4 linked regions of the Saccharomyces cerevisiae S288C genome follow. Changing the gene in region 2 together with the main gene of any one other region gives a genetic interaction. Each region holds a gene or a part of one and is shown on either strand. Other genes may lie near its edges. The genes, in order: YEA6, AXL1, BUD8 and RAX1.

What was found.
Region 1: mutations in AXL1 (region 2) and YEA6 together harm fitness more than expected from each alone (negative genetic interaction), as found in Saccharomyces cerevisiae (2 studies listed by BioGRID).
Region 3: of AXL1 (region 2) and BUD8, a mutation in one rescues a mutant of the other (synthetic rescue), as found in Saccharomyces cerevisiae (one study listed by BioGRID).
Region 4: of AXL1 (region 2) and RAX1, a mutation in one rescues a mutant of the other (synthetic rescue), as found in Saccharomyces cerevisiae (one study listed by BioGRID).

What each region holds. Positions count from the first base shown.
Region 1 is NC_001137.3:142,578-145,834, reverse strand, and holds YEA6 (NAD+ transporter), read right to left. Parts: upstream 1,509-3,257; coding exon 501-1,508; downstream 1-500. Other genes in the region: MIT1 (Mit1p), read right to left, coding at 1,943-3,257.
Region 2 is NC_001148.4:780,062-786,236, forward strand, and holds AXL1 (Axl1p), read left to right. Parts: upstream 1-1,983; coding exon 1,984-5,610; downstream 5,611-6,175. Other genes in the region: THI22 (putative phosphomethylpyrimidine kinase), read left to right, coding at 1-240; high-affinity Cu transporter CTR1, read left to right, coding at 6,147-6,175. UniProt on the Saccharomyces cerevisiae protein: Probable protease. Involved in axial budding.
Region 3 is NC_001144.5:832,453-836,678, forward strand, and holds BUD8 (Bud8p), read left to right. Parts: upstream 1-1,899; coding exon 1,900-3,711; downstream 3,712-4,226. Other genes in the region: LUG1 (Lug1p), read left to right, coding at 1-1,087; sedoheptulose-7-phosphate:D-glyceraldehyde-3-phosphate transaldolase TAL1, read right to left, coding at 3,898-4,226. UniProt on the Saccharomyces cerevisiae protein: Involved in positioning the distal bud pole signal.
Region 4 is NC_001147.6:879,312-882,837, reverse strand, and holds RAX1 (Rax1p), read right to left. Parts: upstream 1,874-3,526; coding exon 566-1,873; downstream 1-565. Other genes in the region: YOR302W (uncharacterized protein), read right to left, coding at 1-73; BUD7 (exomer complex subunit), read right to left, coding at 2,163-3,526. UniProt on the Saccharomyces cerevisiae protein: Required for the establishment of the bipolar budding pattern. Involved in selecting bud sites at both the distal and proximal poles of daughter cells as well as near previously used division sites on mother cells.

The sequences.
Region 1 (3,257 bases), on a different chromosome or scaffold from region 2:
GAATTGAATTAAAATAGGTTCGGGTAAAACGGATAGTTCTTCAAAAAATACTGTATTTCCAGCGTTTCTAAATAACAATAGCATTTGGGAAAACCTTCTTTTACTATTCGAACAAGAAACAGTTTTTTGTTTAGTTTTTTAATCTGGATATTCAGCAGCTATTTCGGCAGTGCACACCCGCAAGAAAAATATACATAATGCTACAATACTCCTAAAATATTATATAAAGTATGAATAAGGTTCAAGTCGTTCTCACGAGCCAAATGAACCTCAAATCTACATTTCTTCCCCTACGAAATGTAGTGAGATTCCTGGGATGAATAAATTCTTTTTTTGCTCTTTATTTGCAACATACTAAAGGTTTAAAACTACTTGATTTTGCGAGTAGCCCGACGTAAAGAGGAATACATAGTCAAGACAGGGGTCATGAGGTTGAAACAATTGCGAAAGATGCTTTTTACGACCCTCAGCTTGTGTCATGTACATTTTTCTGTTTCACTTTATTGAAAAAAAGTAGTTAAATACTTTTTAGAATATTCAAACGATACTAGTGTTACCACAGCAGCAGGTACTGTCCTTACCAAATTAGTTGCAAACCCAGAGTAAAAGCCGGCGAAGCCCTCTTGCCTATACGTAATTTTAATCAATGGAAGGAGATGGCGTTGAACAGTATTTGGAAGATCGGATTTCAGTTGCATTCGAGTTCGAAGTATTTCGTGAGGATAAGTCACGGTAGATGCTACCATTTTAGATAGCATAGAGGCCAATATTAATTTTTGAAAGTTTGAGCTCGTCACATCTGTCGATACGTCAGTCGATTCTGAATATCCGAACCTTATTTTTAAATTTTCATATAAAGGAAACTGTATAGCAACGTTCAGCATCCCCAGCAGGGCTGGTACTAAGCCGGCATAAAGAGCCTTAGCACCCTCTTGTTGAATGATCTTTCTAAATGTGTCTATGGTACCCTTATAATGGGTGGAATATTTACCGATACCTGTTTGCAGCATAAGTCTTGTTTTTACTACCCAAATCGGATTTGTCGCAACTGTAGAGATGGCACCTGCAGTAATTGCAGAAGAAGCGTTTGAGAGAAACGGACTATGTGGGAAAATATCGACCGAATATTTTCTACAGAAATCATAGACGGAAAAGTAAATCATCAAAGTAGGAATATAACCTAAAACCGTCGGCTGTAGACCTTTATAAAGCCCAGCAGCACCTTCATCCTTGAAAATAGTAGCAAATGTACCAAAAAACCCCTTATAATGTTGACTTTGGTGTGTCATGTTTTGGAGACCTTGTGCTTGTAATCTTGTTTTCGCAACGTCAAAAGGACAGACCAGCATTGCGGATAGTGCACCAGATAAAGCACCTGAAATTGCAGCAACTCTAGGGTCAGCATTCTTTTTCAGCCTATTTAGTTTTGTGGGAATCGCATAATTTCCATTAGCTAGTGACGCATTTTTTGAGTTTTCTAATGTCGTTTTATTGTCTCCATTATTCATTATATAGCCGTGATGTATATTCCGCTTTTCATCAAACAATGAAAATAAGTTGAGAACAACTAATTTCGATGTACGTCCAAATTATATGTTTATTTGCTTATATATCAATTTGCTTATCTTTTCCACTTCATTTTTCCACCAGCGCGAGTATGTCGAGAATCATTTTCGACAGCATCTTCAAAAAATACACTAAGCTATCTTTCGTAGAAAATGTTGACAGAGGGGATTCTTTAATAAAGATATTTTATGATGTCAAAAGGAATAGCTTTTTTCCATAGGCAAATGAAGATGAAATTAAAGGCATGATTACGTAAAGAAGCGAAGTATATAAAACTGTAAAATGAAAAATGATATAATTTTCATGAGTAAACCCGATACTCAAAAAGGCAAGGAGAAGAAAAGAAAATCGGAGTACTTTTTTAAAATATATTTACTTATTGTGTAGTAGTTGAAGTGTTTGTATTGAGGTTGTTCATCGTATCATTATTGGTGATGTTTAAGATATTATTGTTCGCGTGACCCATAGCGAAGTTTTTGTGGTCGTTGGGCTCTTGTTGATAGTGATGATGTTGAGGATCAGATCCAATAGTGCTCAAAGTGTGACCAGAGCTCATTATATTTTGTTGAGGCGTCGCTATTGGATATACAGTGGGCAAAGGATGTTGGTGCTGGTGTTGATACATAGACGGATTTTGAGCACTTGCCATGGCATATTGGGGGAATCCCTGGTAATACACTTGCGATGGAGTGTACTGAGAATTAGCGTATGCAGGATTTGATAGCATGGTGCCTGAGTTAGTGCTTGTAGCACCAGAAGGTTCTGCATTCGTATTTGAAGTAGTATTTTCTTGTGCCCTCTTGTATGCAGAAGCAGAAGAATTGTAATAAGGAACATTCACATTCATAGAATACACCGGATAAGGAGCTGTAGAGGTAGCAGAGCTTGCACTATTATTATTGGCTTGATGGAGTAGTGGCTGCATACTGGATACGGGAAGGACATTCTCGGCTGTACCAGGAGTGCCAGTAGCGCCTGCGGCTGCTGATGCTGATTGACTTTCAGTAGGATGCCCATAATAAGGGTGTTGAGTTGAGGAGGTGGAATAGCCTTGATTCTCGTTCGTTGAAGCGTTTGTTACAGGGTTTGGAGGTTGTGTGGTATAATAGTTAGGATTGTTTATCGGAATTGTTGTATAATAAAATGGATAAGAAATTTGTCCTTGTTGTTGCGGATTAATAAAGTCACCGGTGGTGTTATAAGCAAAAGAGGCGTTATGGAATCTATTTGGATTGTTACCGTTCCCTGCATTAGTATTGACATTATTAATATTATTAATATTATTATTATTGTTATTATTATTATTATTATTATTATTATTATTATTGTTACTATTATTACTATTACTACTGTTATTACTATTATTATTGTTATTATTAACATGTGTATTCATACCAGTAGCGTTAGTGTTATCAGGAGATTGAGTGATATAAGGTGGATTCGCCGTATACATCAAAGTTGTTGATGGTAATGCGGGAGCAAATTGAGTGATTGGGTATCCAGAGCTTTCATCATTTTTATAATAATAATTTTTGTTTGCACTAGTAAATTGATTACTGCCAGCAGCATTTATATTAGCACTATTGTTATTCGTGGAAATAACAGTATTCAGGGGAGTGGAAGAGTTGCTTTTATTGTTTATATTATTAGGACCATTACCGGTGGTAGTGGAATTGTTTTTCACGTTGCCT
Region 2 (6,175 bases):
GTTTATGCTGTAGACAAAGTTAAGGATAAGATAACAGCAGCAGAGGGTTCTATTTATAGTGAATGGTGTGATACTTGCGCGTCTTCATTTTGCTACCAAGCTGTGCTTGAAGGTGAAAGGCTCATGAATCACATCTTGGAAACATATCCTCCAGATCAACTTGATTCTTTGGTGACGATCTTTGCAAGAGGTTGTGAATTAGAAACTAATTTCTGGACCGCCGCCATGGAATACGAATGATAGTTACAATATTTTTAACAGAATATATAAAATACATATACAGAAATGATAAACTATAAACGCAAAAGATTAGCGATACGAAAAAAGGATTTCTCGCTATTATATCAATTTATAAAGAGATCCTTTGGAAATATAAATTATGTTCATTTCATTTTTTCAACTTCTAGAAGGATGACTAACTATTGTTTCCATTTGCTAGCATGGTAAATTAATACATTTTTGAATTTGCTGCTAGGGTACAATACCATGCAATGTTTATAATATAAATCAAAGTGACAGAGATTCCTAAAAGCTAAAACAAATCCATTGATAATATAATAGTAGGTTGGTCAATTCACCGCAGATTCAATGTAAGTATTGATACTCCATAAATGTTAACTTCAGGTTGATATTCGTTACAAAAATCTTAGTTTGCTTTTCATTACTATCTGAACGGAATGCTCAACATTTTTCTTATTCTACAATTGTACAATGTCACGTAAACAGTTTGATTTGTGTATTTACAGTGGAAACATTTTACTTGTTGGCAATAGTACATGCGCAGATAATCAAAAACCATTGTTTCCGACATTATTTCTGACAATTGCTTGAATTTGCTGAACACTTTTCGAGGTACATTCTGATAAAGAGTGCATTATTAGTTATTTAGAGTATATTAAGACATCTTCTCGAAGATATATAAATTCGTAAAGGAAACAAAAATTTCGGGATAACAAAAAAGTTTCTTCTTTTTACGTATTAAATGGTCTATTCATCGATCCTATTTCACTATCAATCCTATTATATTATCAACTTTTGCATTTCTGCTTCCACCAAAGTCGACGGCTGTTTCTCATCGTTTATGTAATATCATAACGCATGTATGACATTATATCAGTGGCATGAGCGCTAGTCCATGAAATAGGAGTTTAACTCCAACATACGGAACATTCGCATTATCGCACACGTAAGACTCGATATATTAAGGAAGGAATTTCCGAGTTGGATTAATAAAGGAAAAATAAAATATAGTGTTGGAAATATAGTTGCCTCAGAATAATATCAATATAATATTAAAACGTATATAGTTAGATACCCGGTATTATTCGAGTACGCATTAATTCAGCAGTATGACTTTCTGTGCCTGCTTATATATTGTAACCGTATGTTGTTCTACCTTAAAAATTTGCTAAATTGAAGGAATTGACTATCGTCACTGAAGAGTATTCGTATTATGGTATTATGATACATTGTCTAAAAAAAGGATACCATTTTTCTTCAATAGAACAAGAAGAGAATCTAAGGACACCATTTCGAGAAATAGTTTACACAGTATATCCAATAACTCCAATAAACTACTTTCCTATACAAATTTCCGATGGTTGGATTAATAGTAAAACTTCTATACTTCTTTCATCCATCAAGAAATTAAGGTAAACATCTGGTAAGCACTATCCAACTTTTTTCTGTTACACATATGGTTTTTCTGCAATCATTTCTTCCCACTTTGCATGAGTAAGTGTCCCATTTTGTCTCAAGCCGTTAATCTTGAAACCGCAGGCGGAGTTACTTGATGCGGTATTTTACATGCCTTTTTTCACTGCAAGAAAAAAATGAAACACTTATTTACACGATTTTCAGGATAGTTTACGCTGGTGAGTATGCAGAACAGTTAACACCTTTGTTTTATCCTTTTGTGTCTTGATTATATAATATAAATGTGCCTGGCGTTAAAAAATAGCAACTGAATAAGTTTTTTTACTGATGTCCTTGAGAGAAGTAACTAATTATGAAGTCTCGTTTTACATCCCGTTGTCTTACAGCAACAGGACTCATAAAGTTTGTAAACTGCCAAACGGAATTTTAGCATTAATAATATCGGATCCAACAGATACTTCAAGCTCATGCTCACTGACTGTTTGCACAGGTTCCCATAACGATCCAAAGGATATTGCCGGTTTGGCGCACCTTTGTGAGCACATGATTCTTTCTGCCGGTTCCAAAAAATACCCTGATCCTGGTTTATTCCACACACTAATCGCAAAAAACAACGGCTCTCAAAATGCCTTTACCACAGGGGAGCAAACGACTTTTTATTTTGAATTGCCCAATACTCAAAATAACGGCGAATTTACATTTGAATCTATCTTAGATGTGTTTGCCTCATTCTTCAAAGAACCGCTCTTCAACCCTTTACTGATAAGCAAGGAGATATATGCAATACAAAGTGAGCATGAGGGAAACATATCATCAACCACAAAAATATTCTACCACGCAGCAAGAATATTGGCCAATCCCGACCATCCTTTCAGTCGCTTTTCCACTGGGAACATACACTCGTTATCTAGCATTCCACAACTGAAAAAAATAAAACTAAAGAGCTCATTAAACACTTACTTCGAAAATAATTTTTTTGGGGAGAATATAACCTTGTGCATAAGGGGACCGCAGTCTGTTAATATTCTTACGAAACTAGCTCTATCAAAATTTGGCGATATAAAACCCAAAAGCGCTGTAAAGGAAAGGAGTATATCGATTAGGACGAGGTCATTTCGAAGATCGAAGTCTTTAAAAAAACGCCAAGATTCTTCCAAAAACGACTACAGTGACTTGAAAACCTTTAAAATACTGAACACAACGTGGGAAAAAAAATACAAAAATACGATGTGTTTTCAACAATTTCCTGAATGCAATTCGATATTTATCAATTCAAATAAGGTACCTATAATGAGACTTCTCTTTCCTGTTAGCGATAAAAACACTCGGTTTACAAAGGATGACATTAAAATATACAGTCATCTTTGGTGTGAACTTTTCGGCGATGAGTCTCCAGGATCTTTGAGCTATTACTTAGCTTCAAAAGGCTGGCTCACAGGCTGTTTTGCCTTTACCTCAGAATTCGCTATTGGTGACATAGGATTAATTTTGGAATTAGAACTGACAAACAGTGGCTGGGAAAATATTAAGAGAATTACGACAATAGTACTTAATAGACTCTTGCCTTCCTTTTACGTAATGAACATCGATTACTTAATCACTTTTTTGAAAGAACAGAATTTGATCGACCTCGTTAGCTTTCTGTACCAAAGTTCAGAGGATCTTCCAATGGAAGAGTGCTCAAAATTAAGCGGTATTCTTCAGGACGATTTAGAATGTTTAACCCCCCCTAATATATTCAAAGGATTTAAATCTCTTATAGAAATAGATGATCCCAACATCGAAAAATATGAAAACACAAAGGCCAATATACAATGGTGGACAGGGCAAGCTATTAAGTTCCAAAATTTTTTAAAATCTTTCATGAATCATGACAACATGCGCCTTTTACTCTTAGGGAATATAAAATCTGGTAATATATTTGATAAAATGAAAAATAAAAGTGATATATGCACCGATTTTTTCTATGAATTTGAGTATTATACGGCAAACGTTCATCTAGCAAGTGATAATAAATTTCATTCAAACAGCTCGTATGAATTTAATTTTCCCACAGGTAATCTTTTTTTACCAGATTGCGTCAGCGATCCTTTAAAACTACAACAGCTCTTCTTAGAATGCTCGTTAAAATCGAAATTTGCTACGCTTAGACCTCAAATTTATAGTGAGCCCACTAGGACAAAGCCTCAATTAGTCAGTGAGAACCAGAATTATGAGATGTGGATCTTAAAAGAAGACCCAAATTTTGCCTCAGACAATAAATCCGTCGTATCATTTGAAGTTTTGGGGTTAGGCATCAAACCTAGTCCGGAGGCAACAATCCACCTGGAAGTACTAGCACAGGCATTATTTATCATCACCTCTTCATTCCTTTATCCCGCTCTGAGAATTGGTTACACATATGAGATTGCCTCATCTAGTAAGGGCAACGTAACACTGCGATTTACTATTTCTGGATTCCCTGAGGGTGTTTTCACAATAGTAAAGACGTTCGTGGATACGCTAAAACTTATTGCAACAGATCCAACGTTTCTTTCTAAAGATACCTTGAGAAAGGCAAGGATTTTAGTTAGAAATAAATACAAGAACGCGTCATCGGACAACTGCGTGAAGCTAGCTAGCGTTGGATTGCTGATTGTTTTAGAGAAATATATATGGACTTTAGAGGATAGAATTAATGCATTAGAGCTTACCGAGTTGGAATCCTTCGAAAAATTTTGTTTTTTATTCTGGAGGAATCCTAAACATTTGGTCTTGTTCATGCAGGGAAGCCTTGAATATGCTGACGCAATCAACCGTTACTTAAATAACAATTTTACGCAGCACCTAAAAATCAGCAATGAAGGGAGCAAACCGACCATACGTCTCTACCCTCCTCCCAGTACAAAAGATCTAGATCAAGGCACAAATGCCTTTATATCATATAATGGTCACCAGGATGATCCCAACAATAGTATTGTGTATTTTATTCAGACTGCACAAAGAGATGACATCAAAAATCTGACACTAACCTTTCTTACCGAATATCTATTTTCACTAACGCTAGTGCCTGATCTAAGAAATAAAAAGCAAATTGGGTACATTGTTTTGGGAGGACTCAGGGTTTTAACAGACACTGTTGGGATTCATATAACCGTAATGTCTGGCAGCTCGGGGCACAATCTGGAAACTAGGATCAATGAGTACTTATCTTACTTGCAGCTGCAGGTGCTAAATAGATTCACCGAGTTTGATTTTCGAAGGATACTTCTAGAGCCGTTCTTAAATCTTTTAAAACAGAACAGTACGAAACAGTTTGAAGGGTCGGCTGGTCCTGTAGACCTATTAAATGAGATAGTGGCAAATGTGCAAAATGGTGATAATTACACTCTCAACAATAAACAAATGAGACAACATAGGAAGGTAAGAAATAAAATTGCGGAAGGAAGGCTTAATTTTCAAGAAGATCATGAAATGATTGATATCTCATTTTTGCAAAAATTAACTCTAAAGAAATATTTAGCATTCTTCGAGTCCAAAATCTCTATATATTCCGCTCAAAGAAGTAAGCTATCAATAATGATCACAAGTCCAATGGCAGAGAAGGAAATTGCAAGCAGGAAAATGTTCCTTCAGCTAGAGGCCTTTCTGAAAATAAACGGATTCGCCATAAAAAATGAAGACTTGAAGAAAATTGTCGAACATTCAAAGGGAAATCCTATTTTACTTGTAAAGAACCTTTTTACTTATTTTCGTAGGAGAAATGAAGTTTTCAAGCTCGGAACCGTTGTATTGCAGGAAATATTGAAAATCATCGGAATGAATCTTAAGCAGAGATACGGCTCTATATTAGGGTTTTCTTCCCAAGATGGTGAAGGACAAGAAATAGAAAAATTTTGGAACAACGACACAAGTCCGATTGTTCCTCTTCAGGAGCTTCCTGAACCAAACTTTTTCCGCAAGGCCGCATTTTGAACCGTATTTTGCTCGTTCCAGCCTTTCCACGTTTTTGTTATCTAAGCAACTTGGCACATTTCCCTACTATACTACAAACCGATACGTAAATACTTCCCTAAATAGCATATGAATTATTCAGTAATTTTTAAGGATCGAAACTGCACCTCAACTATTCGTTACTGTGGTTATGTTCTCATGTATTGATGCAAATCATGGGATATTTGCTCAAGACGACGGTAAAATGAGCAAAAATGGCACGATCCTGAAAAGAGCACTTTTCAAGATTCGGGCTACAAAATGCAACATAAAAAATGTTGTATTGTCATCTCGAGAGGGTCTTGTATGTTTTATTCCTCTTATGATTAGTTCACATTAGTAAAACAGATACGCAGTGTGCTCTTAATAAACAACTACTCCATAGCTTTATTTGCATAACAAAACTTTTAAGCACAAACTTAAACAGGTGGAGTAATAGTTCGGCGGCGACTCAAATTACATTTGTTGGAAGAATCGAATAGAAAATAAAAAAAAGTGTATTATATTTGACATTCAAAATGGAAGGTATGAATATGGGTAGCAGCAT
Region 3 (4,226 bases), on a different chromosome or scaffold from region 2:
TTCCTTTGACTCGTGGCAACAGATTGAAAAACTAAATGATAGACATGAAATTATTGCATACAGATATAAAAACCCAAATTCGGTAATTAAAGATATTTCAACAGCAGAACAAGTAAAGTGGAAATGTTACATTGATTCTTCTTATGGTAGGAGATATTGGTTATATAAGACTGATCCTTTCCTGAATCGTGATGACTTGGATTCTAAGTCAAATTTAACTAGGTATGATTTTGAGGGTCACAAAATCATAGAAATTATAAACCAGCCGGATTTCCTAAAGTTTGCCCAAAGTAAAATCATGCTTGGATGTGGTCTAGTTCCTCAAAGTGGTATTAGACGTAAACTATGTTACAGAGATTTAAAGCCACCAGTTTCTCAATTCTTAAATAGAAAAGGTGCGATCAGCCTTGGTGATACTCCACTACCAATAATTACCCCAACATTACCTCGTGGTGGGTGGAGAATCATCCATAATGAGGACGACAACAACAGTCATGTGGAAGATAGCCAAAATCACGTGAATGCCATCCCAAGAAGGAATTCTCTGTTGAGCAGACCCACTTTAAGAAGCAACAATGGTTCTTCCTCTGCCAACCCCTTTGCTATCAATGTTTCTCCTGCATCTCAAATCAGGGATGGTTTGTACTGGGATAGGTCGGTCCATGATTTACGTGAGCTATCATTGCAAGAACAAAGAATTCAGGAGTTAGCTGATGAGCAGCAGGAACTAAGAACAATCGCAAACTTTGAAGAGACTGACGACGAATATTTGCACGATCCCGACTTGCAACGGAGAAGGTCCCAACTTCACTTATTTGAAAGTTCGCGCTCACGTTCAGGAAATAAAACAAGACCAAGTTTAACTGGTGAACACTCGTCCTCGGCATCGTTTCTATCCTTCTCCCACTTCAACCACCTTCACAAGCGTAAGAATTATTATTTCACGCATCCCGATGAATTTGTCTATGATCCAAAGGATCCTCTGACGACTCAAAGATATAGATTACATTTTGAAATAGTCAACGAATATCAAGTTTTTGGGTGCATTGAGCGTGGAATGTATAGATACTACAGTTTAAAAGCATAGATATTTTTCTCTTTACTTCCTTACCCTTCCTCCGCTCTCGTCTTGTGTCTTGTATATGATTTCTATATATGGTAAAATATTGCATACATCGTCTACCATTTAGCCAGACTTTTCGGAAACGAATTTAATGATTGCAGCAAATTCCCTTCCCCTATCAACTGATTGAAGAATGCCTCGAAACGCAATGTGATTTTTAAGTTTTCCATTTTTTTTTTTTTCATAAGGGAAGCCTCTCTCCTCCGAAAAAGGTAAACATTGCGAAAAATGATCCAAAAGAGAGAATAAAAAAACAATTAGAAAATGATTTACTCATCCGCTTACTAGAGAGGCCAAACCGGATAGTCCTGACGCTAATAAGAGTAGGATTAAGTTCATTGTGGTGTGTTTTTTTATTGCGCGTAAGCGATACCTGCAAAATTCATTATAATTTTCAATCACCTTCCATCAATTATCAATACCCCATACTAAGAACAGGCAATTGGTTTAGGAAGGAAAATAATAAAGATATCCAAAAACAACTGGAAGCTTTCCAGTCGCGACCTCTGTTTTGTTCGAACTTCTAGTTAACAAAAGAAAGACCATTCAATTGCTTTTTTAATATTCATTATTGACGATTTTTATTTCTAGGCGATTACCGGTATACTTTTCATTCTTTTGATAAGATAATAAATCCAATTACATTCGCTTATTTTAATTCAATTTAGACTATAACTTTCTCTTAACTCTAGGAGTTTCTTTCTTGAATCGAAGCATTTTTGACAATACCCAATATCCTCTTTCTACTTGAGAATTTTTTCGATTCTACATGAAGTATGATACAATCAGACGAAGATAATTTGGACTCTTCTGAAACGACAGCATCAACTTCATATAGTGGTACTTCCTCTGTATCATCCAGACTACAACTAAGAACATCCTTGTTTTTTGAAAATCTTAATGGAGCACATGGGAACCCCGATGCGGAGACAGAGATGGCTACTGTTGCCTATGAAACCACAAGTAGAGGTCAAGGATTTGCTGTATACATCAACAATGAAAGGTTTTCTCAAATAATGGGAGCATCCACAAGCTCTAGCTCTAGTAGCAACTCGTCCTCTATTACACAATTTCACGATACCCAAGATAATAATATACCAAGCAACACTACTGTAAGGCCAACTTCACTTCGACGAGACAACGAGGATACCGTACCGTTAAGGAACGTAACTCCTTCACAAAACGCGGCGGTACGGCCAGAAAGAGCAGTGAATTCACCATCTTCGCAGAGATTAAGTTGCGCACTGACAATATCAACTTCAGTTCTTATGGGAGAAGATGTTGAAGGAAGCCCTATAGAGCAAGAGCATAGTAGGGTCGTATCTTCATTATACTCATCTTTGGCGAATCGCGGGAACGACGAGTCAAAGAATGGAACACCTCCACGTCCTACCTCAATTGAACCTAATGAAACAACGGAACACTCATTTTTCTCATACCATTACGATGACACCTTAGAACCAGATGTTGAAGAGGCAGTGAGGCTAACGAAGAATAAAACTTCTAATGTTAATTTTATAAGCTCAACTGGCAGTAAAGGTGAAGGCGAGACCGAGGATGAAGTCATAGATCAATACGAACCTGTGAATGAATCAAAATTTATACCGCACAAACTAAAAATTCCAGAGAAGGCTGGATCAATAAAGTCGTCGACAAGTGATGATTCGCATTCGCCAGGTGCGCCAGGTACGTCGGCAAGGAAGATTAAAATTCCTCAGAGTCCATCGTTAATTGGTAACATATTGATTCCTTCACACAATAGTGACAGTAGTAACGAAAGTTCTCCTAAAGACCATATAGGGCATAATAATGAAGAAAAATTCAGTTCAAAATCTACGCGCAAGCCCTCCACATCCCTAGAAGAAGAAGGTCCACCAATTGGACTACCTTCAATTCCCGTATTAAGAAGTGTGTCCGGACCAAGCAAATGGACGAAGACACCTTTACGCTTAGAATCTGGAAATTCAACTAAGTCTGATCCATTTTCACGCTATGAAGGACACAAGACGCCCTCTCCATTGACCAAGATGAACAAGAAGAAAAATAAAACGTTGCCAGAACATGGACAACCCCTCGTGCTAGCTCCAATTAAATCTCAAAGCTCGGAGTCAGACACGGGACAGAACTCCATTATAGAAAAGCCAGCTCGAAGCATACGACGAAAGCAACAAGAAAAAACTGATAATAGGAAAGAAGACAGGCACGATGCTGAAAATATAGACCTGGAGGCGAGAATGCCAATTCAACATATCGATACCGCTTCCATTCATTCGTTTGATTCAGGTCAAAATGGATTCAGGGACGTTTACAGCATCGAAAACATCATTGTGATCCTCCTATGTTGTAGTATAGTGCCGCCATTATTTTTTATTATTGGCTGCAGCTCAAGAAGGAAATTAGTTTCAGACTATAGATTAATGAGGTTGCTTATGAATAAAGAACACCGAGCGGCTTTGCTGCAAGGATTCATATGGGACGTTGATTTAAGGTGGTTCCGGATGTTTTGTCTGATCTTAGGGGCTGCCGAAACAGTGATTGTGATGGCCGGTATTGCTATTGGATTTGGTGTGGGTATAACACGTGAATAAGAAACTGTATCATTCATCAAATAGGATAAAAAATAAAAAACTGTTCTGTCTCGTTAAAGTCATATATATAAATAGGGGATTTTCATTAATTTATATATATAGATATACTTGTGTACATGTACCCGTAAGTATCAAAAGAAACGTGCATAAGGACATGGCCTAAATTAATATTTCCGAGATACTTCCTTAAGCGGTAACTTTCTTTTCAATCAAGTCGAATAGAGTAACAATATCGGCAGAGAATTTTCTGATACCTTCGGACAATTTTTCAGTGGCCATAGCGTCTTCATTCAAGTCGAATCTGAATTTAGATTCGTCGCTGATGTAAGAAATCTTGTCGCCGGCTTCCTTCTTAGCGGAGACAGGGTCCAAAACTCTTGGGAAAGGTTCAGTACTGTTCATCAACTTGTCCAATAAAGCTGGAGAAATTGTTAGATAGTCAACACCAGCCAAGTTTTTGATTTCGTCAGTGCTTCTGAAAGAAGCACCCATAACAATAGTCTTGTAACCGTACT
Region 4 (3,526 bases), on a different chromosome or scaffold from region 2:
GGGAGCTAGTTTTCCAGATGTGGTCAGATATGTAGTCTTGGCAGGTGTATTGAGAGTTCGATAAGCTAAACATATAATGTTTTTTTTATTTCAAATCTGCAAAAAGGGTATGTAGAAGAGTCGATTACCTTGTATTCTTTGCAGTATTTAAACAATTAGATGTTCGAGTGTATCTATGTGTTATAGTTCTGAAGAAAAAAAAAAAAAAAAAAAAGAAAAAGAAACGACGAGTCAAGAAAAGAAAAGAAAAAGGAGGGGCATGAAAAAAGAAATTGACCGAATAATCTAATGAACGTTGGATAGTTAAGTGTCTTACGAGAGAGCCTTATATATCATGTCATCGCCTTTTTTTTCCGCGAGAGGTGATAAGTGAAATCGCAACTATTTACTCATCATGAGGTAATGCGATGCGATGATGAGTCAAACACCCTTCCACGGGAAGCGCCAGCCGGCGCCCTCGGTAAAGCCTGCACTTAACGGCCCCTCGCTGTTTCTTGTACTTAGCGTCACGCGCTATGGAAATATGCGGTGCACAGGTGTTTTTATAGGGGGGTGATGGATTACATCATACACGACGGCCGGGAACACAGCTGAAAATAACTGTGAATGCGGCAGTGGCACCCACTACGAGAAGCAGACACCACAGTCCACGCTTACGTAGAAGCTGCCGAGTAAATGGGTGCTCTATGCGGGTAAGACGGCGCCTACCGCCGAACACCGCAAGTATCATTGGCACGTGATCGGTATCACTAGAAGCATCTCCTTCGTCATTGCCAGCGTTTTTGTGTCTGTGGAGAAGTCTCTGTGTGACGCCAAACCAGGAATACACAATGTCCACTTGATACATGCCACACACAATGCAGTAGCATCCCAGTGTAAATGGCACGACCGTAACGACACGGATTGCGCGACTATACGCCAGGAAGATTAGAACATATCCGATCCAAAAGCCGATGCCTAGCCAGAGCAAACCAAAGCCAATACGACTGATTGACGTGTGATTGGAGAATGGCGAGCGAGAAATGTGCGTCTGGCCTCGAGAGCGATTGCTTTTTTCGTTGGTGACGCCCACTGAGTGGAATCTCCAATCAGATATTTCATCGTGGATGTTGTGTAGTGCGACGCGGCTTAGAAATTTTGGGAAACAATCCATTTCTAGGAATTGGTAAGTTAGGTTTTTTAGGTCGTCAAAAATCTCAATGTCGTACTTTCGCTCGATTTGTACGCTTTCTATTATGCGGTTCCGCGTTTCCATGGGGATGTTGCTCAGGTACCGTTCGCTTTGTTCGGGCGATACTAAATAGGTGTTGCAGAGACCAACTGCGCTGTGCAGCAGTTGTTTTGTAGTTATCTGCGGTTTTCCGTCTTGTTGGGAGCGCCTTTTCATTATCTCGTCGACGATCAGCGCTACGTCTTCGTTTCTCAGGGCTTCTTGACCGATACCCGATTGGTGCTTCCAATCACCCAGCAATTCGTTTAATTTTGGTGAAAAGGGCACGTCTGGGCCGCTATTTTCTAAGAGTTTATCAGGTGCTTCCGGGTCTAGGTGCCCTTCTTCTATCAGTGCGTTCAGCAAGTCAAATGTAGCCGTAGATGTACTTCCATTCTGCTGTTGTTCTTGTGGAAAGTTGATTAATGATTTTCTTACCAACTCTATGTAGTTTTTGCAAAGTCGTGTATGTGTCATAAGGTCAACCCAAAAGTCCAGATAGTTGATGGCATATGGGAATTGTGAAAGAAATGTATAAAAAGTCCAGAGATCAACTGGCTGCGATGTCCTCTGTATTAACACTTCATACAATGTTGGCAATCGTTCACGCTGGATCATCTCGAAATTTTGCATACTGCTCACTTTGCTGAGCTCTTCCTTCATGATGAATGGGACGCTCTTGAACTTTCTTTTTGGCAGAAATTGTTAGAGGTCGTTGTGCACAATGAATTTCCCGTATGTGTTTTATTGATATTTTCGTTTTGCCCGCATTCTCGAAACACGAATATTTTTCCTCGAATGGCGGCGGGCGGCGAAGTTACATAACCAGCATTGCTCTGTATTAATGTATGCTGGGTTTTCTTTAAAGTGACCCAAGAGTTTGACACAACGTTGAAGCGTATCGCCAATTTTTTTTGGATTATATATACGTATTAATGTCTTTTTATCGTATTTATGCATCGTAGCATCCAATGGTGCAAGTAGTGAAGAAATTGAGCAAATTCTCCTGCACCAAGTTGAGAACAGTTTCTGGATATCTTGACGAGATTTCATTCGAAACTTTGGTCAGACTCATATCTTGAATAACCACACTTAAACAATCAAGTAAACTTATGGAAAATTCCGTATACCAACGGTGGTTCCAGCAGCATATCTTCACGCAAAGGTCGATAATGCTATTGTCTAGCTCTCTTATGCGTGAGCTTACTATTTCAGGGACCATGTCATGCGAATTAGGTGAGTTTATAAAATTTTTGACCCGTTGGCGTTCGTTTATACAATATTCCAGCAGTTTCCTCGCGCACCTTGATGAAAATCTCTGCGATAAACCGTTCTGGAAGGCCTTGGCGGCCTCAGGGAAATGGCCCAGTCGACGTGCACAAAGGCCAAATAACTCCCATTCGAAAGTCAACTTATTGTGGTTGTTATTCTGTGCATCCATGTACAGTTGTTCGGTTTGCCATAATGTATACATCTTCAGGTCTTCATATAAAAGCATGAAGAGGTTGTCTAACCATCGTTCACACAGCCGTTTAGCCCTCAGAGGCTGTTCTTCTTGTTTGTTAACGTCCTTTGGTAACGAAGATGATGATTTTTGGTACTCTTCTTCCATAACGAAAATGTTTGATCTGTACTTTAACAGATTTTCCCAGCCGGTGATCTGCACAATTTCTGTCAATAATCGGTATGCCAATTGGAAAGTAGATTTCAAGTTCGACGCAGCTAAATTGACCAGCATTGGATCCGCAGAGCGGTGTTCATTCTGAACGTCTTGTGGATTCAACGACGTCACTTCATCCAGTACAACGTCAATTGGCAATGGCAAATGAAGACTATTATTCGAAGGCAACGGAGCTACTCTTTTCAGTACGTATTTTTCCTTTAATGGAGACATAGGGCATGAATTCAGTATCAGTAAGGCATTTTCAATATCATTTAGCTTTACATACACCTTGGATAAAAGATACCAAGGTCTAAATTCACTGGGAGAACAATTGACTGCCTCTTGCGCTATGTTTTGCGCCAAGCTGTAATCCTGCCTTTTGTCTATCAAAAATTGCGCTTGTAAGCACAGTAATTCAGATTTATAATCCATGCGGTTATTAGTGTTGTTTATTATTTTATCCTGCGAAAGCATATCGTATGTGAGCTTTATTGCGTCTAATTCTTGATCACACACCAAAAAGATCTTGATTAGTATTATGATCGCCTCAGGGTTGTCGGTAGCCAGATTCTTCAACATTATTTCCGCCCTGCTAACATTACGAGTCAGCTTAACTATCTCAACGAGTGTTTCTACCAAATAGTTATTAGTGT